3 linked regions of the Caenorhabditis elegans genome follow. The protein of the gene in region 1 interacts with the protein of each later gene in a pairwise test. Each region holds a gene or a part of one and is shown in the gene's direction. Other genes may lie near its edges. The genes, in order: klc-2, unc-83 and unc-16.

Region 1 (10,505 bases):
TCCCTCTCGTTCCCGAATTAAATTATTTTCCTGCTCCAAAAGATTGATTACATATTAATTTCCTTTTTCCGTTCAACAGTCATGTATATGTTGCAGAAAGAACATTAAAGGAAGCACTTCTCGTCATTCGCGTCCATGCCTTCTGTCCATTAATGATGGATGTCTGCGCCGTAGTACACCACGCACCCGCCGTCTTCCGCTATTCCCCGGCGAGCTGCTCCACGGCATTATTCCATAGTTCTTCTCTTCAGTGTTCCATACACTACTACATCACTCAAATTGTAAATCAGCGAAGAAAGGGGAGCAAAAGAAGAAGAAGGGGAGGAGTGTGTGTGATGCAAGAGAGAAGAGTTTCAAATTTCGTCGAATTGAGATTGAAATCTTCTTTGTCGCAGTCAACTCTTTTCTTCGACCCACTTCTGCCTTTTTTTGTTTTTCGATTGGAGCTCTTGACAATTTTTATACATTTTTCTTCATTTAAAAATCCACAAATAGGTAAAAAAGGGAAGTAGGATTTACGGATCTACTGGAAGTTGTTTTTCTAACAAGCGGTTTTGCTTATTATGATCACGAGCAAAACCAAAAATGTTTCCCAAGCGAACCACAATCAATGCCCGACACCATTGTGTGTGCCGCTTCTGAATGAACTGAATAGAATTCTCTCGTTTCTTCCACCAATTCTTCTTTCATTCCTTGTGCCATTTGTCTGACAAGCGAAGAGAGAAAAGAAGAGCGCCCTTAAATGAATTTGTATCGAGCCAATGGCATCGGAGGGCCATGCGGCTCTGTGTGGCGTGCGTTTCCTCACTTCAAGCACTGCCGCCACCAGCACCAGCACACAATGTTCTTTTCGGCAGGAGGCGAGGTCTATTCAGCACTTTTTCTTCACTTTTAGACCAAGTTTTCGAACACTTTTGCACCGAGTGCACACATTGATTCGTGGAAATGATTTTTTTATCCTTGAAATTGTTTTTCTGAAGAAAATATATCCTGTAAATTTAAAAGTTCAAGTGTTTATTTAAAAATAGTCAATTTAATTTTGGAAAATAAATTTTTTTTAACTGCAAATAAGCTTGTTCGGTCGACTTATAGGCTGATTTACTCATAAAAATTTCAATTCAATGGAAAATATTATTCATTTTTACTTAGACGTCTAAAAAAATACATTTTATTTTTCTTTTATTATATTTAAATTTATTCAAAACATGGTGCAATAGAAGCACGAGCTACAGTAAGTTGCACAGTATGCCGGAAATTGTTTTCTTTAGACGTCTATTATTTTTTCGTGAACAGTCAAACCCCGCTTTAAAGGCACACGATCTTTTTCTGAGTGGGTCTCGACACGATCTCAGCTATAGTGATCACAACAAGTTCCAAATTTCACAAAATTGCTGGTCTTACTTTACGAGCATACTTCACGGGCAAATTTGAGCCAAATAGAAAATTTCTGATTCCCAAAAACAATTTAATATGCCCTTATTATGTAGATGTTTATAAATGGGCATTTCTGTCGAGGGTTTCGCCACGAGAACAGCGAGTATAACTGTATTATGCAATAGTGGCTCATAAATCGACACGAGCTACAGTAACTCCTTGCCCGCGTGGTGAGACCTTGCGCGTAAGATATGGCGAAAATTATCATTTACAGACGTCTACGTAATACATGCTGAACCAAAATATTGTTCGATATTTGACACTAGAGATAAATAACCGTTTTTAACTATAACAAACAGGCCTAAACTTTGATTTTTTGGTAGAAATATATATGCTTTATACATGCACCTCGTAATAAAATGCTATTTCCTGAACTTTTCAAACTCTTTAACTCCTTCTTCTGTTCATCATAAATCTAAACTGAAAAGTTTAAGACACTAATCCTGGAGCCGAATACGAAAAAGTGCTCGTGGAAGCTTTCAAGCTGGATACCATCATGAATTTGGCCGGTTCTACTATTCAGGCATATCGCCAGTAAGTTATATTTTTAATTTGAAATGAGAATTGGAATTTAGAGTGTTGAATCATTTTCTTATCACATGCATTACTCATCAAAAAATGTTTGAAAGTTATTTCCGCTAGGGCTGTAACAAAAAATGTACAGTACATTCTAAGCGGATACCCTAATTTTCAAAAAATTTCAATTTGCATCTACCGTAAAATAAAAATAAAAATCGAAATCTACTTTCCTAGTCCTCTAATTCAAAATTGCAAGATCTTATGACAAGTTTTCAGAAATAGTGAATATATGAATCAAAACTCTTTGCCCAAATTCTAATAATTCATGAGAAGTTTATGTTAATATGTTTTATTTTTTGGTTTTTATATTTTCTGAAATCCCACCTTTCTCTTGAGAAACAAAGCAATTTCGATACTTTTTTGCATATGAAGCTAAACAAATCCTAGATGTATTCTTCATAAAAACTCAGGTGTCCAAACATTGCAATTAACTATGAAAGGATGCATCTTTCCAATTGTTTCGCAATTCTTTCTCGCCTCCGTCTCTTGCTCTCTCATTTCCTCCATGTTGGACGGACGATCAATAGTTTCTATGTTGTCTCTAATATTTCTATGATCTCTCATCAGTGGCTGCGCACGTCTCGCTGTCTATTCGCCGACACGACGAGAGCGGGCTTTCGGTTAATACAACCAAACACTCTTTCCGAACAACGTTATGTTTTACTTGTCCACACTTTATTAGCATCTTTATGTTCAGAACCATTTCTTATGAGCTTTTGCAGGAGAGAAATTATTAGAAAGTTAAAATTTGGTTTCATTTCTGCTTATATTGCGAAATTTGTACCTATAGTGTTGCACATATTTAGCTTATCTTTGACATATTCCAAAAAGTTTCTCAGTTTTCTAAAAGTTTTTCCAAAATTGTTCTAGTGCAACTCAACCTAGCAAAATCAAAGAAATATATTAGTTCTACCACGAAATGCTATTGATTTTCAAAAATTATAGCGCATAGTGCAGCCTTGATTTTTTCAAATTAAAAATTTCAAAAACCGAGTAAATAAAAATTACAAATTTTTAAAAGAAAATATCAATCCACGATGATTTTTATTTTCTCTAAAACGTGTTGAACATTTGGAACATTTTTGCTTTATTTCAACTTATTTCAAAGCAACGTTTCGGTGTAAAATAAGTTTATCGTTATTTTGTGAAAATGTGGAATGTCATTTTAAAGGCACATGCGTATTTTCTCAGGGGGTCTCGCCACGATCTCCTGTATTTCAATAGCAAATGGCAGGGCTGTTATTTAAGACGCCCTCCTCAATCTTTGAGAGCTCATTTTGGCGTTTTTTTTAACTTCAGCCATAAAATTGAAACTGGATAATATTTACCTAAATAATAGATTTTCCAAATTCTTGCACCAAATAGATCTATGGTATAAAACTGTCAGGCTGATTTTCAAATTTTTGCATTTTTTAGAATTCCAAAGTGAGCAGTATTCATGGAAAAATATTTTTTGAATCTAGTTCTACGTTTTTGAGAGAATGCAAGATTTTAATTAATTTTTGTTGTGCCATACTTTGGCATTATTTACATTTAAAAGAAAAAAAGGGTTAATTTTTTCTGATAAATCTGAAATTAAAAAAAAAGACTATCGCAAAACTTATTGAACGACCTAATAGCTATGATCTACATAGATTCAACTGTTTTTACTCACTGAAAAAATTTTCTCGTTAGCTACCAACACTTCTCGAACTTCTTCCAATTACATTTAATAGATTTAAAATTTCAGGCGAAAAATCGAGTCGCTGGCGAAAATGTCAAACATGTCGCAGGACGACGTGACGACGGGCCTACGTACCGTTCAGCAGGGACTTGAAGCTCTTCGTGAGGAACACTCGACAATTTCGAATACTTTGGAGACTAGTGTCAAAGGTATGGCTTTTTTTACGACGAGTTGAACATTTACTAAAATTCAATCATTTAGGTGTGAAAGAAGATGAAGCTCCATTGCCGAAGCAGAAGCTTTCACAAATTAACGATAATTTGGATAAGTTGGTGTGCGGAGTTGATGAGACATCGTTGATGCTGATGGTATTCCAACTCACTCAAGGAATGGATGCTCAACATCAGAAATACCAAGCTCAACGGAGACGCTTGTGCCAGGAGAATGCGTGGCTTCGTGATGAGTTGAGTTCAACTCAAATCAAACTTCAACAGTCGGAGCAAATGGTTGCTCAATTGGAAGAGGAGAACAAGCATCTTAAGTATATGGCATCAATCAAACAATTTGATGATGGAACTGTAAGTTGAATTTTTCGAGGAGCATTCTTAACTTATTTTGTTTGTTTTCAGCAAAGTGATACTAAGACATCTGTCGATGTTGGACCACAACCAGTCACAAACGAAACTCTTCAAGAACTTGGTTTTGGACCAGAAGACGAAGAAGATATGAATGCTAGTCAATTCAACCAACCAACACCAGCCAACCAAATGGCGGCTTCTGCTAATGTTGGATACGAAATTCCAGCTCGTCTTCGCACACTTCACAACTTGGTCATTCAATACGCCTCCCAAGGTCGTTATGAAGTTGCAGTTCCATTGTGCAAGCAAGCTTTGGAAGATTTGGAGAAAACGAGTGGTCACGATCATCCAGATGTTGCCACAATGCTCAATATTTTGGCACTTGTCTACAGAGATCAGAACAAGTACAAAGAGGCTGCAAATCTTCTGAATGAGGCTCTCAGTATTCGTGAGAAATGTCTTGGAGAAAGTCATCCAGCTGTTGCCGCCACTCTCAACAATCTCGCAGTTTTGTTCGGAAAACGTGGAAAGTTCAAGGATGCTGAACCGCTTTGCAAGCGTGCTCTTGAAATTCGCGAGAAAGTTCTTGGAGATGATCATCCAGATGTGGCCAAGCAACTCAATAATCTTGCTCTTCTTTGCCAAAATCAAGGAAAGTATGAAGAAGTCGAGAAGTATTACAAGAGAGCTCTCGAAATCTACGAGAGCAAACTTGGACCTGATGACCCGAATGTGGCAAAGACCAAGAACAATTTGTCATCTGCTTACTTGAAACAAGGAAAATATAAGGAGGCTGAGGAGTTGTACAAGCAAATTCTCACCAGAGCTCATGAAAGAGAGTTCGGACAGATCAGTGGAGAGAATAAACCAATTTGGCAAATCGCTGAAGAACGAGAGGAGAACAAGCACAAGGGAGAAGGTGCAACTGCCAACGAACAAGCTGGATGGGCAAAAGCCGCCAAAGTTGATAGGTATTATGATTTTTATTAGAAAAAAATAAATTAAACAAAACTGATTCCAGTCCAACCGTCACAACAACTCTCAAGAACCTTGGAGCCCTTTACCGGCGACAAGGAAAATATGAAGCCGCCGAAACATTGGAAGATGTCGCCTTGAGAGCAAAGAAACAGGTATGTAATGATGTTTTTTCTGCATTCATGGCTTCTCTATCTAGCACGCTTTACTGCATTTAAAATACAAAAGTTCAGAAAAAAAATTTAGAAGTTAGATATTAATGTTGTAAAATGTTGTATGCGTCCCCGATACCCCAGTGACAAGAATTTGCTTCATATTTACATGTATTTTTGGAACTTAAAACATTGACAACAGTTGTTTCAAACCAGGGGAGTGCGTCAAATTTGCCGAATTTGCCGGTTGCCGAACTTGCCGGACACGGTAAATTTCGAAAATTGCCGCACACATCAAAAATTCGACAATAAAATTTTGACCAAAACTATGTTTCAAACTAACCCGAAAATTAGATGCTGCCTGAACAATGTCTTGCCAACTTTTGAACCAAAATTGGCAAATACTGAAATATTGCACAAATCTGAAGCTCATTCAAACGAATTGTTTTTTAAAATTAAAGTTTAAATTTAATACGAAGCATATTCTTGTCCTCCCCAAGCCCCCATCAATAACAATTCCAGTAACAAAAAAAAACACATAAAACGCTTATTTTTGTATTTTAGTGATAGTGATGTGCTTTAGAATTTGGTCACTCGTTTCCTCTTTTCAGTATTGTTTCCTCTTTCAGCATGAGCCATTACGAAGTGGAGCGATGGGCGGAATCGATGAAATGAGCCAGTCGATGATGGCTTCTACAATCGGTGGATCCAGAAACTCGATGACAACGAGCACATCTCAAACTGGATTGAAGAATAAACTAATGAATGCACTCGGATTCAACTCTTAAGAGCATCTCTTTGCAGCACTGACTGAAAACCGCTTATCGTTCTTGTATTAATAAGTGCTCGTTGATTCAAGTTCCAAATTCTGAAATTTTGTCTCAGATCTACGAAAACTTGCTTTTTTCTTCTTTCGTTGTGTTGTGCATGATTCTTTTTTTTTTGATTGATTTTTCTTTCTGCCCCATCCCCTCATTCACAAAATCTTGTTCATAAATAATAGGGTTGAATAATTGAATGTTTCCTTGTCCGCCCCCACCAACTTTTTGGTAAAGCTTTATATTGTCTGCTTCGAATTTTCTTTTCAAGCAAAAAAAAAAACATAATTATAACAAGCTGAAAAATCGTGTTGTTGTAAATAAAGGGTTTATTTTTGAATTCTGCTTGTTACAAGAAAAAGAAAACTTCAATTTCAGATGTCCGAATCTCGAAGAATGGAACGATCCGTTATGTATTGATTGTTGCTCGACATTGTACTCCGTCATCAAGCTTTACACTTCTTCGCAAAATTCCAAAAGTTTACAAGTTCTCATTTATTTATATGTATCAAGTTCTAATTAAACACTGCTTTTCTATTTTTGTTAGCTATTCGCATAATAACATTTTTTTTTAATTATAAAAATGTGAACCCGATTAAATTGGAAAAACGTTTCGAGAAAAATTATAATTGCAAAGATTCATGATATTTATTCAATAAGACTTGAAAAACATTTACCCTGATATTCAAAAAATTAACAAAAAACAACGGTCAAGTTGGTGATTATGGGAAGGGGTTTGTATTCTATGAAGAACACGGAGAGATTAACATGAGCGGTACCAAACCCTGGTACCAGGGCTTCCTGCTGGCAGGAAATTGTCAAATTGATAACCCATAATCTCCGGACCGAAGTGAAAACTTTAGTAGTCAACGTTGCTTATATACCCAACGATTAGCAAGCGACCGACGTTTCGAAAGAAATGACAACCAAACATTGGGCGGAATTTCGTAATGTTTGCAATTTGAGGTGTAGTGGTGTATAGCAGTGGAAAAATGATTAGAAAACTGTAGTAGGCACACAAACTCCAAACAAGTCCTGACGTTGCTGGAGTTGACAATTTTCTGATAACACTTTTAAAAAACCGGGATAAAAGCGGTTAACGTAGAGGAAAGGGGGAGCAAGGCTAATGTGGAAAACGGTATATGCTTAGTTAGGGGTAGCCGACAAATTGTGGAGTATGTACTACATCGACAAAAATAAATATCACAAAGCTTAATTCAAGAGATTATTTCGCTGAAGTATTCAAAGCGTCGAAAAATATTTTTTATTATGGTGACATGAATTTATGATTTAATTTTTTAAAAATATTTTTTCTCCTTTTAAAAATATGAAACCCACTCCAATAATATTTAGGTTTTTCAAATTTTTAAAGAAATAAATTGTAACTTTTATTTAAGAAATTGCGAGGCGCGTTTAAATCTGATACTCAAATGCGTAAAAGAAAATTGTAATTGAAACAAAAAACGTGTAGAAAAACTGTGATGTTAGATCATTTCACTCGGGAATCGCTCGCCCACTATGGGGGAGTCTACGCAAGGACAACGCAAGGACAAGAACAACATTCTAATGGAATGGAAACGATTGCCCGACTGCACCAATTCTAGTTCAAGCGAACAATGATAACTTTTGTATTCTGTATTCCTTCACGTCTCCCAGCGAGCGTAATAAATTATTATTATTATTATTTCATCATTATAGGAAATTTTTGAACTCTCCTCTGTTTACAAATACCAATTTAACAAAGACTGTATTACTGTTTCAACAAGAAACAAGAGCTAAACGTCACGCGTAATGACCGTCTATTTCTCTTTCTCAATGACTAATGCATAGAGTGCCATAGATATGTGAGAAACTGTTTTCAAAAAGATCAGTGAGATCCAGTGATCTCGTGGGAGGGCACTCAAGAAACTGAGAACTATTTGTATATAAATAGAGCGAGGAATGTGTTGTTTTTTGTTCGTAAACCATCCCTCTCGCCAGTCGACACTTTCCATGTACTTTGCTCTTTCACTGTAATAGATCTTTAATCAACATACATTGTACCATTTTGCAAATCCACATTTCGATATTTGTCATCTTTGCTAGATTGTTGCACGAATGAGAAAAGTGTATCTTGTCTTGTCCTTTTTGTGTGTCGGATATGCTTTCAAGTTACACGCCACTTCAACAACAGTTAGACAGGGGAGTAGTCAAGTGACATCAAAACTTATCCAAACAGATTTTGATTTGTGATACCACTTGTATGATTTGGCTCTGATATAAAAATATCATTGAAAAGTCACGGAGAGTACCTTTTTCTCTATTCTGGTTACCATCAGTTGCTCCTAACAACTGGTCATGCTTCATGCAAATTCAAAATGAAAGTCTAATGTAGGCGATATTTTGGCATTTTTTCAAGCATGTAAAATGATAAAATGTAAGGTTTCTCAGTAAAGGCTCTCGCCAAAAAGTAGAAATGTTAAAAACGTACGCAATAATATCGTGGCAGGCACTTTCCATGCCTCCGTGACATCATCATGCCTGCCTACTTACCAGGCGAAGGACGCCACGGTAGGTATTCTTTTTGACAATTTTTTGAAGATGCACATAGTTGAATTAATTTTAAAAAATCTCGGTACTAGTCCTGAATCACCCCGCCACTTTTTTTTTTATTTGTGTATTATTTCCCCTCATTTTAATATTATCCATTTTAATAAAACGTGATGTCCATTTTCCATCTTTAGGCTTAGAAATGGTTATTTCCTAAGCCTAAAAATACAAAAACTCCACACGTTTTTATTTGAAAAAAAAAGAAAAAAAGTGGCGGGGTGATTTAGGACTAGTACCAATATCTCTATCATCTCCAAAGCTAAGCTTGATTCTTCTTTCCAAAAAAGTTTCCAACTAGTTAATTTCAAAAATATTTTAAATAAATATTTTTTAAAAATTAAAGATTGTTCCCCATCTTAGCTGAAACTCACACATTCGTACTAAAACGATTCTAACTTGGCAATTTAAAGCGAGTTTTTACCAAAGATCCAGTAAATAAATATCTCTGGAAAACCCTCACTTTTTTTAATAGAAAATTCCTTTTGTTTTTGTTTACCGTCATGAAAAAAGAAAAATCCAATTGTTCTTCAATTTTTTTCTCATTTTCTGGCCAGTATCCTGTCCATCAAATACGATACATTCACTTTTGTAGCATCAAATGAGTCAAAAAGACACACAAATCTATCAAAGGTGATATACGGAAATTCATTGCGTGCTTCTCGGTCTCCAACACTCTCCTTTTCTCTTTTTTTTTGCTCCAAATTCGTTCATCCTCTCTCCCTCTCATCAAATAACGACTTCCGTGAGAGCTCACATAAGCATAATTCAAGCGACAGGAGCTGGATGAGGAGGAGCACCTTTTCTCGTCTCGAGGCTTTCAATCTCATTTCTTTTTTCATCAACTAGAAGTCTGATTCGGACCCGAAGATTAGTGAAACGGATTAGTTGAGACATATCAGACGGCTGTGTACTCAGGATTTACTATATGAATGGGTCATGTGGTTTTGTAATTTCACACATTTTTTTCAGCAGAACCTTGTTCTTCCAGTTTTCACTAGTATTTTCAGCAAAATGATTGGCTTAACTGTGATGTACACTTTAATTTTTTCAAAATGACCAAAGCTTATAAAAAGACACCTAACAAATTGTAGATTTTTAAATTTCCAGTCAAAGGTTTGGTAAATTGCCAACATTCGAGTTCCATTATTGTTGTGCAATTTTCAAATACAGATTAAACCCAAATAACCAAGAAAGATACCCCGAAACTCGTTGTTTGATAAATTACGCACTATGTACTTGGTTTTATCGTGAGAACGTGCATTAGATAGAGAATAAATTTACATATATTCTCATCAAATATTTTCACTACCAGCATCTTTAATGATCATATCTTCTCAAAATAGCATAGCACCTCTCATGTTGCTCGAAATTTCATGTTTTGAAATTTTTCGTTTGCTCTAACAAGAGTGGTCTTTTTGTGGGGATACTGTGTGAAAATCAGGCCTGTCGTTTTTTTTTTACTTAGACCACAAATAAATGTGAACCTAGAGCTTATTTTAAGGTCAAATACTGAAAAAAAACAGAAATATCTTCCTGGGCATTTTTTTGATTATCGTAGTTGTTGATACTAGGAAAATTAGCGCTTGCGAGAAATTTTGGAAAATTATTAAAAAATACTATTTAAGTTTATGCACTTTCTCGGCACTTCTCCAAGCTGCAAGATAAGCCGAATTTTTCCAAACTCCAATTTTCGATAGAAAACAAAGTTGACATAAAT
Region 2 (10,131 bases), 890 kb from region 1:
CAAGAAAAAGCGTTAAACCAAGCACTATAGTGAGCTATAAATCTACCTGTTGGAATGTCTCTGTTCACCTTTTGAATTGCATTCCACTCCCTGTCCCCGCATGTTGACCACCCATTCAACATTGATTCGATTATTATGATGGTAATTTCGTATCAATGTCGGAAATGTAATCCGAATCCCTTCTGGATGAAATAAAAAAAATAGACGGAATGGAGAAAGTGTGTAGGAAGCATTGGTTTGTTGTCTGAATCATCTGTACTACCGCCATCAGCCTCACCCTTCACAAAGATCATTCCAGCTTCCCATTTTTCTTTTATCCGCTAGAAATGAAGCGTATGGAAGGTGATTTTTGGGGATTATATGTACTGTTGTATTGGACTGTAACAAAGTACGTCTAGATTCTGCTAACCTAGAGGCTCTTGAAGTTATTTTCTCTCAACTCCATTTTTGGTCCGCTTTTTAGAGCTGCAAATATTTCGAGCACTTGTTGACAATAAATAAAGTGGTAGTTTTTTTATAACAGCACAGTTATAATAGGCATTTGGCTCTAGTTTCTTGGCCAAGCTTGGCCCAAAAATATTAGCTTACTATTAGAACAAAATTTGGTAAAACTTGGGGAAGAGTTGGTTTAGGCTATGATGAAGTGTAACCCAACTTTGGCCGAAGTTTTGTCCAAAATTTTTTTGAACTTGGCAAGAGTTTGACAAAAAATGGGTCAAACTTGACCAAATGTTTCCAAAGTCTTCCCAAAACTTGCCCATCGTTTGCCCAACTAGTCCCAACTTTTGACACAATTTAACATTTATTGAGTTCAACTTAGATAATTAGCTAGAGCCAAACTAAACATGTTTTTGACATTTGTGATGCTATCAGAAAATTATTTTTATGCAATTAAAATAAAATAAACACTACTTACTAATTTTCTATAGAACCTCGTGTTCCTTTCAAAATTACAATACGATCCATCTTGTTCCCACAATCACTCTGCTTCTCAATCATCTGTCTATCTATGTCAGTCTCTATAAATATATTCACATGATCAATTTCTCACATTTGAAAAAATTGGCACCCAGCCAGCAATGTTGCACTGTCTTCCTCTCAACCCTTCTACTCCCACACGCTTGCCCTAGACTATCATTCTTCAAAAAGAAAACTAAAAACAGCTCGATAATCGAATGTGTGTCTCCTGATGGTTCCCACGTCGTCAACACAAACTGTTTGACTTTTTCAATCATGTCTTTGACTTCTTCAACTGTCTGCGTTTCTTCCACACATACACAAATTATCATTTCTTTGTCGTTTTTTGTCTTGGTGCTGACCGCCTTTAGTTACAGGCGCCCGTTGTTTTCTTGCATTCCTGCCAATTTTCACAGTAGCAATCGAGATAGTATCAGGTGGTAGTAAATGTTTACGTGTCGACTGAGTTTTTCAACCTTTATGACTCCATTGGCATAGGAGTATCAAGTAAATTATCAATGAACTGATTAGCATCATGTTCATTTTGAAGATGACATTGTTTGAAAGGTTTTCGGAGAAAAGGAAGTATTCTGAAATATTGGAATTTAAATTAATTTCTATTAATGTGCTTACAATTAATATTGAAATTTTAAAGTGTTTTTGGAAATTCTCTGCTGGCATTTGAACACTCAAAATTCTTCAATTAACTGATCAGCTCAGGCATAATTTTCTTTTGAAAACTTTTTAATGGCTTTACGCATTTTGAGAAGGAGCTGAAGTTTTCTAACTGTTTTTGAAAGTGTTACCCCTCTATGAGTCACTGGGGGCAAACGAGAAGCGCAGTTTGGGCGACATTTTGTTGCATTATCAAATAAAAACGGTTGTCTCTTCTTTTTTATTATCAACCAATGCAGAGCCAACATTCTACCAAATTGATAGTAATGCAAGTACTTGCCGTAGATTCCCTCAAACATTTGAGACAAAGGGCCTAAATAGTTTTAATTGTGAAACAAATTAGACACGACGTTCGAAGTTTATTCTGCAGTTTTGGTAATGCGTTGTAATTTTGATGTTAGTCTAGAAACAAATGTTTTCTTTTTGAAATTTTGCAATGTTCTTCAGAATATTTCAAGTATGAAATTTCTAAATTGTACTTCAAATCATTTCTAAAACTCGTAAAACATTCGGGCACTACAAAGTGTTCCTTTTCTACTTTAGTATCACAATGTTTCGCACATTGGTGATAAATGAGCCGGGGCTGTCTGCCGTTTCCGACTCCATTAACTTGGGTCCATTATCCCATCGTTTCACTGTGTTTCTATCACATTTATTGGGGGAACTTCCTGTTGCAACAAAACCAATAAATTCGAAAAGTGTCAGGGCCATGTGCTGTTGGACATCTATTCGTGAACATTTTCAAAATTTCGATTTGTTCCTTTCCAGTTTTCCATAGATTCAATTTTAATTGAAAAATGAATGGGTGGAAACTTGAATTTAAAAAAAAGGAATTTAATTCAATTTTCAACAAGTTCAAAAATATTTTTTCCAACGTTTTGTTAATTGATATTTTCCAGAACTTTCTAAATCAAGTTACATTTTTTTTGAAAGCTACAACCTATTTTGTAGTAATTTGGAAATTTCTTGGACCTCGTTGTGATAATTTCCATAAATTTTGCTTAATATTTTTTATTGGAAATCACGAGACTTTTTCACACAAAATAAAATCTTCCAGCTGATTTCCCTGGTCCAATCTCTTTTTTATCACTTTCACACCTATCTCTTCATATTTTCATATCTTCATAAATCTTCATAAAAATTCATAAAACAATATCTCCATCATAATTATCATCTTTTATTATTTTATCAGGTGTCGAAAAGAAACGAAAACTGTGTGAATGACATGATAATCCATCATCATCACAAGCTTCTCTTCCCAACTCTCTAGATTCTCCTCTCTCATCAGTATTATTGTTTATTAAGGCGGAGACTTCGGATTGGGGGGCAGATTTCGAGCATCTCACACTTTTCTATGTTTATCTTTTAATTTGCGAACATTTTTGCGGGCGATGGCTTGTTGTCCAGGGCATGAAATCCATGGATTTTTATTTGGATTTTCAAAAACTGGCCTAACAAATTTTATGGAAACCGTACTATACATAAGTAAAACATTTATGAAGTTTTTCGTGTGTTTCTACATTTTTATTAAAAACATTTTTTATTATCTTTAAAAGGATGTTTTACTGCTCGACACAATTTTCATAGATTTTTGGTAAACTAGGCTAGTTTTGAATTGAGTATATATTTTGCAAATTTTCTATCCTCAATATGACTTGAATTTCCGTTTCTTGACTTTGATCTCAACAGAAATCTCTTCTTGAAATTTATTTTCAGCTCCAATGAAACAACTAATCTCTTTTTCTTTGTTTTTCACGAAATTTTTCCTATTTTGTTCTACACACAAAAAATTGTATATACTTTTTCTATTTTTAAATTTTCACCTCATTTCGTTTTGATTAAGTATTTTTCCGTCTAAACTAAATTTTTCCAGATCCGTTTCTCATCCGTGATCATATTGCGCAGATGCGTAATTGATCGTCCACCCCTACCAGTACAGTATCCCACGTCTGGATACAAACTTCTCTGATTTTTTTATTTTTATTCCTGGACACCGAAAGTAACCCGAAAACAGGTTACGAATGGACGTAATGGACTCATTCTCGGAGGTCGAGATGCCCAATGATATATCATCGGAGGACCATCTTTTGAAGGTGAGGCAGAGCTTTAAATTTTACGAAAAAAAAATACTTTAAAATTTTCAACGCATTTTCTTGCATATTGAATTCATTTGAAAAGTAAAATTTCGTTAAAAGTAGGAGAAAAAAAATTAAAAGTTCGATTTCTTTATTCAAACCAAAGTAGAATGTAGTTTTTTTCTAAACCAAAACGAGCGAAAATAATTTTATTTTTCAAATCTATTTGATTATTGAAAGTGCCTTTTTGAAAAATGCTTGAGCATTTACCCTTGCGCCATCAATTGTTTGCAAAAAGCTGTCAAAAAGCCCGAGAGGCCGAGTTTTCAATTTTGGCGCAAAAAATCCCGAATTCCACGCTATCTTTTTTTTTCTTTCGATTGACTAAAGACGAACGGCTGAAGTTTTTTTTCGCTGTGCTTCAAAGATTTATAACTGGAGGTGGAAAGAGTTAGTGTCGCACATTCAAATTCCGCATCGTTTAGTTTTTCTTATCGAATGTTTTGATCTGGTGGGGGACGACGAAGTAAATTGAATTGAAAACTGTGGTTATCTTGAAAAGAAGTTTGAAGGAGAAAGTGTAAAACTATTGATGACGGGAGTTTAAATTTCAAGAGATTTTAAGACATTCCCATATTTCAGTGTGCGAAAATTTATCATTAAAAAATATTAATTATTTCTATGTGCTAAGTACATTTATTAGCAAAAAAGCGCAGAATCAAGTTCAGACAACATAATTATATTGATCTTCAGAGATTTTGCACATAATTTTGAGAGCCATTTTTCAGGAAAAACATAAAAGTTATCAAAATTGGTCCGCTAAATGATGTGTAAAACCTTTAAAATGCGATACTTTTTAATATTTAAAAGATTCGCATGAGAAATAATTGACTGACACCTTAGGTTCCTTGTAAAATATTTCATTGTATTATTAGTAAGTATAGGTATTTCCCAGATTTCCTTGTTAAGGTACCGCAAAGTCAACACATTCATGGACACCTTTTTTTGTTGACTTACCCCATATTTCTCTTTTTGTTTCCAAAAACAATATGCGGACCATTGAATCCTCACGCCATTCACACACATTCCCAGAGCGCGACTACTAGTAACTTTGTTTGGCAAAAGCTGTTAGTAAGAAGAGAATGATTCCGAGTGCCCAATACCATAAGTGTTTCTCGAGGTGCGCATCTCGGCAGTGAAGAGCAACTTGCAAGTTCGAGTGCATTTCTCCAAACTTGGTTGTTCCTACACAACGATTCCTGTGCCATGTTCCTTGATCCTCTCAATTTTGGCAATTGAATCGATTAACGTCAGGTTTACTCTTCGTTTTATTGCAAAGTGGGCCGCCCGGAAGGTCGAGAAATCGTAAATTGACTCGGAATTACCAATTTTACAGTCACACTGAAAGCAAAGCACTTCTTTTTGGTAGAGCGGGTGGCCATTGATTGTCGTTAAATCGTTTGTGAGGGTCATTTAGAAAAATGGGCGCATATTTTAATTTTTCAGAATAATTTTGACAATTTTAAATAATGAAAATAACAAATTACATTTTTTTGAAAATCTTGTTTCACCTTTTTTGGTTTTTTATTTGTATCAAATTATAAACTGTTTTATTAAATTGCACTACGCAGCTGTACAAGATCGAATTGCGCGTGTACAACCATCGTTAAAAATATCTCCTAGATATCTTTCCAGCTGTTACTTTGCCCATTTTAATGATCAATAATTTAATTTCCAGGTCATCGAATCGTCGGCTGAGGAAGTGGATATCTTTTTGGAGAACTGCTCCTCGCTCTACAATTTAATCCTCGACTCGTTGCACAACCTCACCTCAAAAGTAAGTCTTATTTGTTTTATTGCTTGTGTCGTTTGGTTGCCATGGATCAAGTGAAACTGGGAGAGTAATTAGGTGTAGCTGGCCTCAAAAGAACCTCCTGTTTTTCTCGATTTTCTTCTAGTTTTTCTTTGAACAAAGTTTTTTGCTTAGCCCTCTGATATCAAGATCAAGTTTTGCAAACTTGAGGCAGTTGTCCATTTGATTGAGCAAGAGATAGCAATAGTTTAAGGGGTCATCAATTATCAAAAAGAGAAACGTTACGAGCCTGTCAATTGAACACAAGCCTGGTACGAAAATATTACGGCAGATGTGGTGATGGATAACTGAAAACATTCACTTGACAAGCCTTTTGCCTGTGCTTTAGGGAATTTTTGAATCTTCCAAATACAGTTTTTACATAAAGTTTACCAGAATTAATTTCTGGTTGAAGTTTCAAGACTTGTTGATCTAGGAATGATAAATTAAAATAAACCCTTCCCATTCACAAAAACATAGCTAACTTATTCTTGCTCTAACTAGTAAGTTTTGTTCACTCCATGAACTACATCTAAATTTAAGCGGTTAATCATAGAGTAAACAACAAAAAAAAACCAATTTTTGAAGGTATAAAGTTGTACTTCTCAATATCCGATGATTAAAATTTTTAAAAAGAAAGTATCCTCAAATCGTTTGCTCTTTTTCAATGAGATAACAAATGACCACTGCAACTCATCTCTCTGTGCTTCTTATCCTCCCACACTCATTCAATATACTCACCCAATTTTTGTGGCAATTGCCGTTTGTTTGGAAGGTCACCCATTAATCAAATGTAGTTGGTTGATTGTGCAACCTCTACTACTAAACATTTTGATGAAGATCCTTCATTTTATCTGCCACTGACTCCTGAGAAAATGCCACACATTTCGATTCAATTAGCTTTCCTAAATTATTATACCAAATAGTATCGAATAACATCTCGCCCCCCGAACCACAGAAAAGTGGCCCCCAATAGTGTGCGCAGTTTTGCCGTTCCGAATGAAATTGGAGATTGTTGAGAACCAAGAGATAGATGGGAATTGAGTTGAAGTTATTGTTAGAAATTTTAAACTTTTCAATGATAAATTTTGACACAATAGGGGATCAGGTTGTAATTAGAAGATTACCAATTACTTTTTATTTTCATCACTCCAAAAAAGTACAACTGAATTTTTCAAATATCTAGTGGTAACCCGAAAAACTCATGTCAACTTTCTGAATCCAAAAATGCTGCAAATTTCTTGTCAAAAATGCTGTCCACAGCAAATCCCCAATGGACGTGTTCCGATTGAGGCAGTGTTTGCTTACTTGGGATGTGTTACTCTCGTTTTCTTATTCGAACGTCCTCCTTTTCTTTTGGGGAGTAACATAATCCCGTTCAGACAGACACAGATTGAGCAGATCATTTGTTTCCTTTTAAGTGGGTTGGCACATTTTGCTCTTTATTTTTCGCTTTTAGATAACTGAGATGCTAATTTTTTTCAGATCACTTAACTTCTTTAGTGAACTTATAATGTTGTTTTTGAAAAATTGTTTCCAAATTCTCAGAAAAAGATATCAGAATCTGGATATTTTCAAATTTTAGAACGAGGCGCACTTTTATGTTTTTTTCAAAACTTTTTCAATGTTTTTTTAACTGATTTTGTAAAATTCATTTGCCTTAAATATCAAATTTTTTGAAGCAAAACATAATGAAATTCTTCTCAAACTTAAAGCCTTCCATCTTTAGTTCCAAAATTCGTTCCGCATTGAACAATAACAAGATATAGGGGCGCGAACATGCGTGAAGAATACGAGAACAGTAACGGAAGAAGAATAAGGAGAAAAGACACGGAGTCATCTCATGTTTGCGGATTGTTAGTTATACCACCATCGGGCACCCGAGTTGTCGTTGAGCATGCTTAGCGACAGGAGCACCAGCGGTACACTTCACGCACCCGATACTCGTCTTATTCGTCCACTCGAAGGGGGGCTTAGACTCACTGTACTCTTCGTTCTAGGTTAGAGCATTAGGGCAAAAACTATTTCATGAAAAATTAGAAAATTTTCGAGGAAACCTCTAGTTTCCATTGCTGGGTTTCTGTCTTTGTCTCTGGTTCTCAGCCATCCTTCTGTTACTTCTTATTTTTATGGCATTATGTTTTCGCGTTTTGGCAAAAGTCTTCCTCGATTTTACAACCGCCACATGTTTTGATATTGTTGCACATTTACTCTGATTACATTCCGATCTTACTCAAAAGCTTTCACATTGCCTGTCATCACAAAGTGCCTTCTTCTTCTCCTCCTTCCTCATCTCCTAATCTAAATTAATGAGTTTTGATCGGACGTTTCCATGGGGGTGTGTAATAAAAATAATGAGCTGGTGTGCTCTTTATCAACAGGGCCGATCGAACCACTTACCGCCATCCATCTTCTGATCCGACTTCCACCACCACCACCATCACCTTTCTTCAATTCCGTTGCTTTTCGTTTGGAAGTGTATTTTGGAAATATGTCACATTATGTATTCATTAGCAAAACGACGCAGTCCGTTGGTCTGTTTGACAGAGAGCTGACAATATGCATCATATCCATTGAAACTGAACCCAGTGGAGAAAAGAAGCATTGTTTCACTGAAATGACTCATTCTCCAGGTTGTTTCTTCTGTTCGCAGCGTCGTTGGTGAAAGTTTTTGTTTTAGCAATTTTCCAATTTCGGCATTTTTCTACCAGACCCTACAGTTACCTACCTACTTGCACAACTCAGTTCCAATGGAAACATTATTATAATTGTCTTATAACCTTATCAGTTTATGCAAATAGTGTTCCCTTTCCTTGGTATGTTCATAACTAATGTTCCAGGCAGAATTTGTATTCTCGACATCACGTTTTGAAGAATTTTCTACAATTTTTAAATAGTAACCACATAGTAACCACTAAATAATAAACACATATTTGTTACTACCACATTTCCAATATTGAGCCGGAAAGCTGACCACTTCTTTTTATTTTCCGCTTGCTTGAACAACCACCACCTCCTTCATTAATTTTGGGTCACCACTACTAGTTTGCCCGTCATCGTAGTGGGAGAATGAATGAGTTTTTATCGTGGTATGATGAGATTCTGCACATCTGGAGCCCCCCGCACACACACACATACCACCCGGTGCGCGGGACATTGCACCGGTCCAAGGGTTAATAGCTCCGTCTCTGACAACACATGTGCACTTTTGTAGCAGGAGGGCACACATACACTGTTTCTTTCATTGTATCGGTTTTTTGACAATGAGAATAATAGAGCTTTGATTTAGTTTTTAGGTTTTCATCGTTCAAATTCTGAATCTAGCTCTCCAACTCAAAACCTGAACAAGTTTGTATATGTATACGTTATACCCATAAATAAACATAACTTTCAAATCCGACAGCCCTCCCCTTATCCCGTCGCTTTTCTCGATTTGTATGCCAATCGGCACATATAGGTATAATGTGATTAGAAATCACACCCGTCAAACAAAACCTGGGAAATGCTTGTATCATTCGAGAGATCCGGCTGACCTTATTTTTTGGGCCCACTCGTATTATATATTCGGGTGTCTCTAGTGGTGCAATTCCTATACTAACAGACCTTATCGCCGTGTTGCATAATATTAGCTACCATTTCTTTAGAGAGGGTGTGCCAAGAGACACTAGATAATATCTTTTTGGAGTTACTTCCCAAATGACCGTAGCTCTTCTTGTAAACTATTCGAATGCTATTAGCTTTTTGTACATTTTTGAAGCCAAAACGTTAAACTTTGAGATTGGAAATGTATCTCAAAAGCTCGCCAAATATGAAGTCTCAAATAAAGATAAGGTCGAGTCTTGCATTTCCAAACTTAAAAAAATCTTCCCTATCCAAAAATTACCTCTTTTTGCTTAAAAAATCGTTATATTCATCAAAGCTCAACAAAAACTATTTAAGGTGACTTTAGTGACAGAACCCAGAAAAAGCAATCATAGCTCGCGATTTCTAAAAACTCATAAAACAACCGCTACCAATCAAGAAATGTTATTTTGTATCGTTCAGCTAATTTTCTATGTTTCAACTTAACCTAACGTTTTTCCCAAATCCACTCTTCTCTTGTCAATCAAATAAAAATTCTCACAGTTTTTTGCACTAATCGAATTAGCAAATTTGGGTTGCATGTCACATATATTCCTATTCTCTTCCCCATTAAAACAGAAACATCGAGCACTGATAGCCATCATCATCATCGGAATTAGATGGTGCGAGAACGTATTCATTTATCATCGAGATTATATTCGTTGCCTTATTCTTCTTTGACGACGACTTCTTATTTTTCTTTTTCCTCGTCCGTTCCTTCTCTAGATGAAGACAGATGATAAACCATAAGAGAGAGAGAAAAAGCTCATTAGGTATTATGCATTTTATTGTTTGTGGGAAAAGAAATTGGAATGAAAGATTCAAGATGAGCCCTCCTTCTACCCTTTCAAGGATTAATTAAGAGAGCACAAAAGTGAGGACCACTTGAGAATTTTAGGAACGTCTTTTGAACTCTTTTTCTTTCTATTCTAAACACCGCTTTTTTCCTTA
Region 3 (10,387 bases), on another chromosome or scaffold:
TCGTCGAAATGAGTTTGTCCAACGTTTTTCCCGTCAATTTCTCCATAGGAATCGTCATAATTTTGGTTTCCTTGTAGGGTTTCAGCATCTCTTCAACGGCAACCACTGAGATTCCAACCATTCGATCAAAAAACTCTACAAGCTGCTGTTGCATCCTCTCATTGTTACTTATCAATTTATAAGCCGTTTGATCTTTGCCAGATAGCATTAATGGAAGAACAAGATGTTCGAAATGATGATCCCGTAGAAGATTGTACTGAATAGCCATATCTGCAGCAACGGAGAAGTCTTGTTTCTTGATGGCAGCATCTAGCAACTGTGTAATGTCCTCAGTGAATTTCTCTTTGGTGATATCGAAGATTTCACTGAGAAGCTGCTTTTGTCCAATTGTGCACACATCTAAGGCGTTTATTTGAATAGTTCCAGTCAGATATTTCTGTCTGAGCTCCGTCTCCTGTCCCGACTCTTTTAACCAAACTCCAAAATCCTCCAGATACCAAACCGCCAAACTTTGTCCCGATGTTTTTCCTCTATCCGGCATCGCTTTCATCATATCCACAGCCATTCCGTAGATGTTGACTCCTTTAAATGTATAGATTATGAATGAGGGTTTTTTAAAGTTTTTAATAATAAAAGAACTTTAAAATGTTTACCTGATCTATAGTCCTCGTTGAAAAATTCTCGATTTTTGGCTCGAACTTTTCTCTCCCGCTCAGACTCGGGTCCATTCATAATTGCTTTCAGAACTTCCCGGCGTGACTTCAACGGTTCGGCGTAGTCTGTTCGATATTTTGCCTTTTTCTCGGCTTTCGTTAGCTTTCTTTTGTACGGTTCTTCTTCCATTTTCGAAACGGACAAGCTTGATTCTGTAAAAAGTATAAATAAATATTTGTCGAAAAGTTAGTACAAAAGAAATTAATCAAAGAACAAGGAAAACGTGTTTCCCCACGAGAATTCGTATTACGGAGAGGAAAATCTAGAAACGGCCCAAAAACCGAAAGAACAACAGAAAAGCGTTGTGGATTATTCGATATCCAGCACTTTTTGCACAAATTGAGGCAAAAATAATGGAAAAAGAACCAAGAAATCAATGAACAAAATGGAAAATGAATTTTTAAAAAATTGTCGATGGTATTTAAGATGTGCAGGTTAGCGAATAGTACTGTATCACGGCGGCGATTCAAATGATCTACGAAGCAATTACACGAGGAAAATTAATGGAGATTATGGAGCAAATTGAGGGAATTAATTATAGTATAAAAGTTTCGAAAAGGAAAATTATTATTTATTATCCTATTTAGTTCGCCACACAATGGGAGATTTTAGATGCGTAAATAGTTGAGAGTAGAAAGTAAACTGACTGACTCAAAAAATATGTTTAAAATGTTTATTCGAGATTGAGAAAATAAATTAAATTTCACGAAACCTTTTAAATACATAAGTAAAAAAATGTTTTGTTTTTAAATTTGCCACTATCAAAACTGTCTAACTCTCTAACTCTTATCTTCTCTGCGTAACGATAGAGCGCGTTTACATCATTATTTTTTCATTAAATTTTTTCTATAAATATTTCTTCTTTCTACGACAAACGTTCTCCATTATTGTTTTTGCAGACTTTTTCCATCTAACATGGTTCAAGAAAGCATTATTTCATCTTTCCGTGGAAAACTTGAAAACGATCCAAGCAAATCAACGAGTCTAGCCACAGTGGAAACACTGCTCGAGGTTTTAGACCGGAGTCGCGGTAAGTTCCTGAATTTGAATATTTAGGCAATTAATTTTTTGCTTAATTACAGCCACCACCGTTGCCGAATTTCAAAATGAGCTAAATCAAGTAGTTGCTGCTCTCGAGAAAACGGACTACAGCTCAACATCAATTCGAAGTGCCGCTGATTTGTTCACCAGATTCACTTCTCTGGCTCCAGCTGCTCTTCTCGATCAAGAAGATTTTTCTCAAGTTCTTGATCTGTATCGCCAACGAGCACGCTCATTTATAAAGAATGTCAGAGGTTCTCGAGCCAAAATTTCCAAGTGCGCTCGTCTATTTTTCACTCATCATATGGTACGTTTTTTTTTCTATTTAAATAATTCCTATTTAATGTATTTTAATCTTTGTATTTTCTAGAATATTCTGACACACTCATACAGCAAAGTGGTTCTGGAAACTATTCTTGATGCTCACAAAAGTGGATATCACCTTCATGTCTGGGTCACCGAATCGCAACCGGATGCTTCAGGAAAACTAGTGTTTGAAGAATTGAAAAAGAATGGAGTTCCAACTACTTTAGTTCTAGATAGCTGTGTGGGGTGAGTGGAAATTATAAAAAACAATAAGAAAAACGTATATACATTTTTTATTTTTTAAGATATGTCATGGAAAGAATTCAAGCAGTTCTAGTTGGCGCTGAAGGAGTCATGGAAACCGGTGGAATCATCAATAAAATTGGAACTGTTAATGTTTGTATCATCGCAAAATCACGGCATGTTCCCGTCTATGTTTGCGCTGAAACTATCAAGTTTGTACGGGAGTTCCCACTCAACCAGGCCGATATTCCCCAAGAATTCAAAGTAATCAATTTATATCAAATAACTCAATCAGATCTTTCATTATTTCAGTATCGAACATCAGTAATTGAGAGAAACAACCTAGAATTGGAGCATCCCGATGTGGATTACACCGCACCCGAATTTCTGACACTGATCATTACTGATGTCGGCGCAATGAAGCCTGAAGCTGTTGGAGAAGAACTCATTAAAATGTATATCTGAGGGTAGAAATTTATTTGAACGTGTATTTAATTCAATCAAATTAAATTAATTTGTTCTTGTTTTGTTTTTTATAATTATGATTGGTTTTTTTCTTTTACAAAAATAAAAAATAACGTGGAACCCAAAACTATTCATTTCGAGTTTTTAAAAACGCTCATTCATCAAAAAGATGAGTGAAAAGCACTTTATTTTGCCATCTAGCATGCTAATGATAGTTTCGGCTGTCTTCGGAGGTATCGGAATCATCACTACAATCGTGTTCGTGATTCTGACAGTTCTTCATTCAAAAAGTGCGGTTTGTAAACCTGCAGGTTAGTTTTTGTTGCGAAATTGTGCAATTTTTACCCAGAAAGTACGGTTCCCGGTCTCGACGCTACAATTGTTAAATTCTGAAAGGTGTGTGCCTTTAAAGTGTACTGTACTTCGAATTTTTAGACTTTTATTAGTTTTTCGATATTTAAATATTTATTTATTTATCTGAAACTATGAAAAATCGATGCAAATTCCATAACAACGAAAATCTGAAATTACAGTACTCTTTAAAGGCGCACACCTCTTTGGATCTATCAAAAACTTTGCCGTATCGAGACCGGGTATCGTATTAGCATGACGAAAATCGCAAAATTATCTGGATAATATAGTAATGCTGAAGAATAAAAATTTGCACATTTTCAGGCAAAGAAGACATGAAAAAACTGAACGGTATCGAAGGAATGCAAACGATCAAAGAAGAATGTGGAGGATCAACTGAAACATCCTCGTCGAAACCGAAGAAAAAAGCCAAGAAAGAAGTCTGATTTTTTTTTTTTGAATAAATTTTAAATTTCTTCGTGAAGACCTTTTCTACGTTCTTTTAATTTATAAAATAGACAACACTTTTAACTTGATTTCCTACTCATTTCGTTAAATTCAAATCTAGCAAAAGGGTTATACGGTTACAAATCTTTGTAAAGTAGAAATATGCTTTTGAACAAACTCATTGTGGCAAATATTGTGAGTTTCTAGTTTTCAGCAGATTATTTGGGAATCTTCTTGGTTTTCAGATGATTAGTGTGACTGTTCTACTCCAGGGAACTATTCCAATGGGGTACGTATCTGGACTCGCGTCATTTTGGATGGTAAATTCTCATCTTAAAGACGTTCCTAACTCTACGTTTTCAGCTCTCAGCAGGTAGCGTTTTCCTCGTACTCGCAGTCATCACATTCATCGCTCTGTTGTTTTTGAGTCGATCTAAATGCATGTTGGCAATGAGCCAAAGAAAAGTAATTCCTAGTTTTAGAAAGTTATTTTACATTCTACAAAAATTTCAGTTGGCCATCTATCATGCTCCAGCACCAGTCACATCGTTGCTTTCGCTCATCTTCTTCATCGTGTACACATTCAGTGCCAAAGCTCCCCACGAGCATACAGCAATTAAAAACTGCATTGTGCTTCTGGATGTAAATTATATTAATCGACATGATTTTCTCTTTAATCCAACAATTCAGGTCGGAGTGGGAATTGTTCTGATGATTTCTCTGGTGCAAGTGCTTCTAGCGTTCCTGAGCCACCCGGAATATCCTGAGGAAGATAATGATGAACGTTGATTTATTTCGTAATAAACTGATTCTTTCGTATTTGTTTTTTCATTGTTTTAACACATGTTGTCACACTAAATTCGTGGTTTTGACGCAAAAATAGCCTAAGAAACACATAATTTTGATAGAGTTTATATAAAAATTCGTAATAGCGGCGCAAATTGAAATTCTATTCATGCAAAACTTCTAATGAAGTGTTTTTATTCTGAATTCAATAGAAAAATAAATTCTGAAGCGCAAAACGGCAAAACCCACTCGACATGCGTGTAGTGCGTGACGCACAAAACGCTCCTCTTCCGCCAATTACCGTATTCTCTCATCCACGAGATTCACACATGCGCCCAGCCTTCTTTTATTGATTTTCTGTCGCCGCGGCGAAGGAGTGGCACTTTATTTACATAGCTTTTTTCATTGCAAAGCACAAAAGCAACATAATTTGTAGAATTGTCTCGTCAACTTGCTCTCACATGGACCAATAATCGACAGAACGACTGAAAAAATGGCTTGCAATTTGTCACCGGTGAATGAGATGGCAGACTCAATTACGAGCAGCACACCGTCTGAGGTAAGTGGTGGCAAATGAACCATTGTTGCAACCGAGTGGCAGCAGCAGCGTCTCCCGATAGTTATCTCGGTTCTCTTATCGTCGCCCCCTACTACTATTCCTCGGCCAGTAAATACCGTTATGTTTCTCTTCCGCACTTCTCTCTTCATTATTGATTGTCGCTAGACACAACAAAACAGTTGGGACGGGTAATAGGAGGATTTTTTTATGCTGCATTCGATATTGATGGGAGAAATGTTATCTCAGATTGTGTACGGCGGCCCCGGCTCACCAGATGAGCATCGAACAATGTCGGATAAAGTGCAGACAATGGCTTCGGCAATTTATCGAGAGTTGGAAACAATGATAAAAGTTCACGGAGAAGATGGCGTGAAAGTGAGTTTTTTCGGAATTTTACTTTAAAATTTATTTAAATGGCTGTTTTCGCAAAAAATGTCCCAAAACAACCGGATTTCATAATAAGACTGATGGTTTTGAAAAAAAAAACGCTTTCTTTCTTCTGAAATCTTCAATTTTGCCAACTTTTCCGTGTCGCAACGGCCGGAAATGAATTTTTATTGAGCATCATTTCGATCTTGCTTATTTTTAGTTGCCTATCGCTTCAAATGTACCAAACTCAACGAAGTAACACGAGATAAACGACAAAATAAGCGAAAATCGAATGAAAATAAATTTCCGACCGCTGTGGCACGGAAAAATATGCAAAATTGTAGATTTTAGCTCATAGTTAAATATTTTTCAAAACATAGAATCGTCATAATTAATTGAAGAACTTTTAAATGATATTTTTACGAAATTCGGACTTTTTAGACCATTTTTTGATCAGAAATTGAAATTCTATGTTTTTACTCTACTTCAATACTAAATTCAGTATGTTAAACCAGTCAGCAGGTAAATTTATGCTAATTTTCTTCTCTCTTTCTCTATTATCATTCAATAAACTAAACATTTTCAGACTCTGATGCCATTGGTTGTAAATGTGCTCGAAGCATTGGATCTTGCCTATTTGGAACGTGACGAGCAGACTGCAGAACTTGAAATGCTCAAAGAGGACAATGAACAGCTTCAGACACAATATGAACGTGAAAAAGCACTTCGAAAGCAGACAGAACAGAAATATATTGAAATAGAAGACACGTTGATTGGTCAGAATAAAGAGTTGGACAAAAAGATAGAGTCACTTGAATCAATAATGAGGATGCTCGAGTTGAAAGCCAAAAATGCCACTGATCACGGTTAGTTTGTTACAGTTAGTTAATTGTCACCTCAATTATTAACTCTTGTGTTTTTCTTGGATAAATTTTTAAAAAAAGTATTATTTTTCAGCCAGTCGTCTGGAAGAACGTGAAGTGGAACAAAAGCTCGAATTCGATCGTCTCCACGAACGATATAATACTCTATTACGAACCCATGTAGATCACATGGAACGTACAAAATATCTAATGGGAAGTGAAAAATTCGAATTAATGCAGAATATGCCATTGCCAAATATGCAACTTCGAAACAAGTAAGTTTAATTTAATTAAATTTAAAAAAGTGATTAATATTTGACTGTTGTGTCGTTGTTTGTAGTTGGTTTCCAATATCACATCGCTTACATAAGAGTGGTGATCAAAGTAATTTGTCATTGTGAGTTTTGTGTCTGGAATTTTTGTTATTTTTCGGGAAGGTTTTTTTATTTTTCAAATTTTTGATTTTTTTTCGATTTGGTTATCCTCCACTTCACTCCAAATTTTGAAGCGCATGAAGAAATAAAAATCACCAATTTTTTTGAATTTATTTTATTTTCTTGATTTTCCAAATTTTTTATCACTGCTCTAAATGTCAGAAAAGAGATCATAATTACTGTTTAAAAAAATTTTCTAAATTTTTATGTTTTCTCCAATTTTGCAAAAAATGCGATATTTGTTGTTAAATTCCCGCAAACGATATAGATCTTTGAAAATGCTTCAATTATATTTATTGTTTAAAAAAATTGTATAAATTCGCTCATTACGATATACAATTTAAAGCAAAATTCCCAATTTTATCATTTTCCAAAAAGAATTTTGTTAGGCAAACACTTCTTCCACCTTTAATAACTTGGTTCGGTCCCCTAAAATCAAAATTTTAATTTTTAAAAGATATTATTTAAATTACAGAATGGGCATGGCTGCTTCTGTGGATGCATCATCAATTCGTGGAGTATCTGATCTTATTTCTGCTCATATGACACAATCAACCACGATGGATGTTAATCTTGCAAATCACATCACAAACGAAGGTGAGTTTTTTACGCGACCCTTCACAAATATGTAAAAATACAAAAAATTCTATATATCGCAAAATTTAGTTTATTTATTTATTTCCGATAATTTTTAACTAACATGAACTCGAATCCTCAACTAACCTTTATTGGTATGCCAGTTTTCTTCCGATTTCCATGCTGCAAAGGTGCGGCACGGGTTTTCGCAACCGCCGCGCGTTTTTTTAAAACTTTTTTTAACAGGAAATTTCCAACGGATTTTTTTCTGTAAATTCACTTATTTTCCAACTGCATTGGTTTATTGCTCAATTTTTAGACCTTTTTGGCTTAAATAAACCAGTTCAGTTGGAAAGAAATTTTAAATTTCCCATTAAAAAACCATTTTTAATTGTATTCCGTACGATGTTTCCTGTTGAAAAGTGAAAAAAAACCCGCTCCGCACCTTTTCTCAATGGAAATTGCAACCCTCATTCTTTTAAATCTTAAAATACTAATTTTCCAGACTGGCAAGACGAATTCTCATCAGATATCGAACCATCACCCAGGGATATTCCACAATCATCTGCTGATGCGTTGACTTCACCAATTACAACCAAAGAGCCGACTCCTAAACGAGAAGCTGCTTCACCGAAACAATCAGAAGAGGAAGAAGCTGACGAGACAACTTCTGTGTAAGTTAATTATGATTTTAAAATTTTATTAGGAATTTATATAAGAGTTTTGAAATCTATTCCAATTTTTCAGAGATCCCAAGGAAAATAACGATTTGCTCGGTGCTGATCTCACAGGTTGGTTTTTTTGTATTTAATAATTAAAAATCAAGTGAAATCGTCTAATTTATCTATTGTCCATCACTAATTAGAGTGTGTCGTTTCATTTTTTTTCACACTAACCTAATTTCTTCTTCAAATCACACAAACACGGGGACTTTTTTTCATTTTTGACAATTTATCGATTATCCACACATAATTTGACAGGAAATCTAGTGGATCCAGCAGAGTTCGCCTCAGCGGGTAAATTTTTAAGTTTTCAATGTTGTATTGGTCCTTGTGGTCCTTGTTCTTGCTTGCTTTCGGCCAGCTTTTGTCCGGTATTTCACCACACTGAAGTCTACAATGCATGCATTTTTTCACTTTCCCCGTGCACCTTTTATATAGATTATGTTGTAGAGAAAACACGTGAAAGCTTTTTCAAAATCTCGGTACCCTCTAAAGACACAGTAAGTGTGTACACACAATATTTAAAAATTAGGTCACACCCATAAAATGGTTTTGCCTCTCATCTTATCTGAGCTCACTGCTAGCGTGAGAGGCGGAACCCGGTAGATGTCGGACCTTGGGCGTGGCGTGATTTTTGAAATTTCTGAATGTCTATCAACTTAGTCGCTATTCCCTCAAAATTTTGGTTTCAACCTAAAAACTAGATGTTGTATTGTATTTACTTGATGTGCCTTTTGTGTTTTGTCAGATGACGAATCGGATTGGAATGGTCTTGGATTAATACCACGAAGACATCGACCAAATGAAATGCTCGACGATGATGACACTTCGGACGATGGAAGTTTGGGTAGGGAACACACGTAGTTTGGAGCATGTGCATGAGCGCTGGCCATTTTTTTTTGAGTTTTGCATAATCGATTCTATATATATCTCCATCTCTCTCTCTTTTTTTGATTTAACATTCTCTATTTTTACAGTTAACGACACGTTCATTGGTAAGTTAAAGCAAAAACAATGTCGTGATTGTGTTTTGAAGCACTTGTTTTATATTAAAAAGTTTAAAATTGAAATTAAAATTAAACTCACATATATTTATGTTTCACTCAATTGGTTTCGTCACTATTTTTTCCGAAATTTATTCCGTTTCATCACAGAGACATTAAAAAACAGCATGCAATTGATAGTTTATGAGAATCTTCCTCGCTATTAATTCAGAATATTTATTAAATTTATTAATTAGTATATATTTAAACTCGAAGATTTTCATGCAAGCGCTTACCCTGTGTTATCGAATGACTTTCCAACACGATTTTTCAACTTTTATTCTTTAAGGAATGGGCCGTGAAGTCGAGAACCTGATCAAGGAGAATTCCGAGCTTCTCGATATGAAAAACGCGTTGAACATTGTCAAGAACGATCTTATAAATCAAGTCGATGAGCTGAACAGTGAGAATATGATTCTGAGAGATGAGAATCTGAGCCGACAAATGGTCAGTGAGAAGATGCAGGAGCAAATTACGAAGCATGAGGAGGAGATTAAGACGCTCAAGCAGAAGCTTATGGAGAAGGAAAATGAACAAGAAGAGGTTTGATTTTTTAAAATTTAGAAGTAAAAAATATATTTTGCTTCAAAAATTCCAAAAAGAGTGCCCTAGATTCCAAAATACCACTAAAAATCAAAAAATCGAGGAAGATTGAAAAATCTAATTTTTTAAAGTTTATCCACAATTCATTTGAACAAATCTCTTTTTAAAAGTGGGATTTTTGATTGTTTCTGAATTTTTTAAAAAATGCTTTCAGGATGATGTTCCAATGGCAATGCGAAAACGATTCACTCGTTCAGAAATGCAGCGTGTTCTTATGGATCGAAATGCATACAAAGAAAAGCTTATGGAACTCGAAGAGTCTATCAAGTGGACTGAAATGCAACGAGCAAAGAAGATGCAACAACAGCAGCAGAATGTGAATCAGAAGAAATCTGGCGGAATTTGGGAATTGTTAGCTAATTTATCGCCGATTCGTGCTTCTTGATCCTTTTCTCTTTTTACAGTTTCTCAAGTCTCCTGGGTGATTCAGTGACCCCACCCGCATCGTCGCGGGGAAATCGTGCAAGCTCATCGCGCGGCAAGATGACTCGCTCTGTGGAGTATATCGACCCAGACATGTTAGTTGTTGAAGAGTAGAGATTATTTTTTGTTGGGCACGTAGTATGAATGGTGTTGTTTTTTCTTTTTTCTAGGATTCATCTCTCCCGGTAACACCCTCTCATCCTGTGATGCTTCGAAGACCAATCTGTTGAACTCTCTATCTCTCTCTAAATAGAACTTATAATTGCACTCACTCAACACCTAGATTCATAATGAACGCACTTATAAACAGCTTTAACTATACATAAAATCAACAAACATTTGGAATCCGATCATTTTATGCACCCGCATTTTCCCAGAGACTTGGTTTGATCTTTTTTTGAAACTAACCTTTTTAAGTTGCGTTACAAAATAATATTTATTA

Evidence for each region.
Region 2: the proteins of klc-2 (region 1) and unc-83 interact in a two-hybrid assay, tested with the Caenorhabditis elegans proteins (2 studies listed by BioGRID).
Region 3: the proteins of klc-2 (region 1) and unc-16 interact in binary tests that used the Caenorhabditis elegans proteins (3 or more experiments, as listed by UniProt).

The regions. Positions count from the first base shown.
Region 1 is NC_003283.11:5,572,767-5,583,271, reverse strand, and holds klc-2 (Kinesin light chain), read left to right. Parts: upstream 1-3,767; coding exon 3,768-3,885; intron 3,886-3,937; coding exon 3,938-4,254; intron 4,255-4,305; coding exon 4,306-5,225; intron 5,226-5,275; coding exon 5,276-5,384; intron 5,385-6,010; coding exon 6,011-6,169; 3' UTR 6,170-6,535; downstream 6,536-10,505. UniProt on the Caenorhabditis elegans protein: Kinesin is a microtubule-associated force-producing protein that may play a role in organelle transport. The light chain may function in coupling of cargo to the heavy chain or in the modulation of its ATPase activity.
Region 2 is NC_003283.11:6,461,560-6,471,690, forward strand, and holds the start of unc-83 (Nuclear migration protein unc-83), read left to right. Parts: upstream 1-3,505; 5' UTR 3,506-3,653; coding exon 3,654-3,725; intron 3,726-3,874; exon of another isoform or gene 3,875-4,074; intron 4,075-4,827; exon of another isoform or gene 4,828-5,008; intron 5,009-5,445; coding exon 5,446-5,544; intron 5,545-6,405; exon of another isoform or gene 6,406-6,614; intron 6,615-6,750; exon of another isoform or gene 6,751-6,890; intron 6,891-7,033; exon of another isoform or gene 7,034-7,173; intron 7,174-7,384; exon of another isoform or gene 7,385-7,533; intron 7,534-9,940; exon of another isoform or gene 9,941-10,131. UniProt on the Caenorhabditis elegans protein: Cargo-specific adapter that is involved in nuclear migration during development and thereafter.
Region 3 is NC_003281.10:9,541,513-9,551,899, forward strand, and holds the start of unc-16 (JNK-interacting protein), read left to right. Parts: upstream 1-4,782; 5' UTR 4,783-4,846; coding exon 4,847-4,912; intron 4,913-5,158; coding exon 5,159-5,287; intron 5,288-5,867; coding exon 5,868-6,147; intron 6,148-6,238; coding exon 6,239-6,419; intron 6,420-6,484; coding exon of another isoform or gene 6,485-6,541; intron 6,542-7,053; coding exon 7,054-7,175; intron 7,176-7,278; coding exon of another isoform or gene 7,279-7,309; intron 7,310-7,659; coding exon 7,660-7,828; intron 7,829-7,901; coding exon 7,902-7,945; intron 7,946-8,134; coding exon of another isoform or gene 8,135-8,170; intron 8,171-8,624; coding exon 8,625-8,723; intron 8,724-8,853; coding exon of another isoform or gene 8,854-8,871; intron 8,872-9,208; coding exon 9,209-9,462; intron 9,463-9,676; coding exon 9,677-9,873; intron 9,874-9,926; coding exon 9,927-10,040; intron 10,041-10,115; coding exon of another isoform or gene 10,116-10,134; exon of another isoform or gene 10,135-10,387. Other genes in the region: Exonuclease mut-7, read right to left, coding at 1-582, 654-843; eif-2Balpha (Translation initiation factor eIF2B subunit alpha), read left to right, coding at 1,630-1,744, 1,797-2,062, 2,126-2,307, 2,367-2,568, 2,617-2,769; ZK1098.9 (uncharacterized protein), read left to right, coding at 2,939-3,080, 3,445-3,566; ZK1098.12 (DUF2975 domain-containing protein), read left to right, coding at 3,730-3,762, 3,813-3,887, 3,931-4,032, 4,081-4,209, 4,258-4,356. UniProt on the Caenorhabditis elegans protein: The JNK-interacting protein (JIP) group of scaffold proteins selectively mediates JNK signaling by aggregating specific components of the MAPK cascade to form a functional JNK signaling module.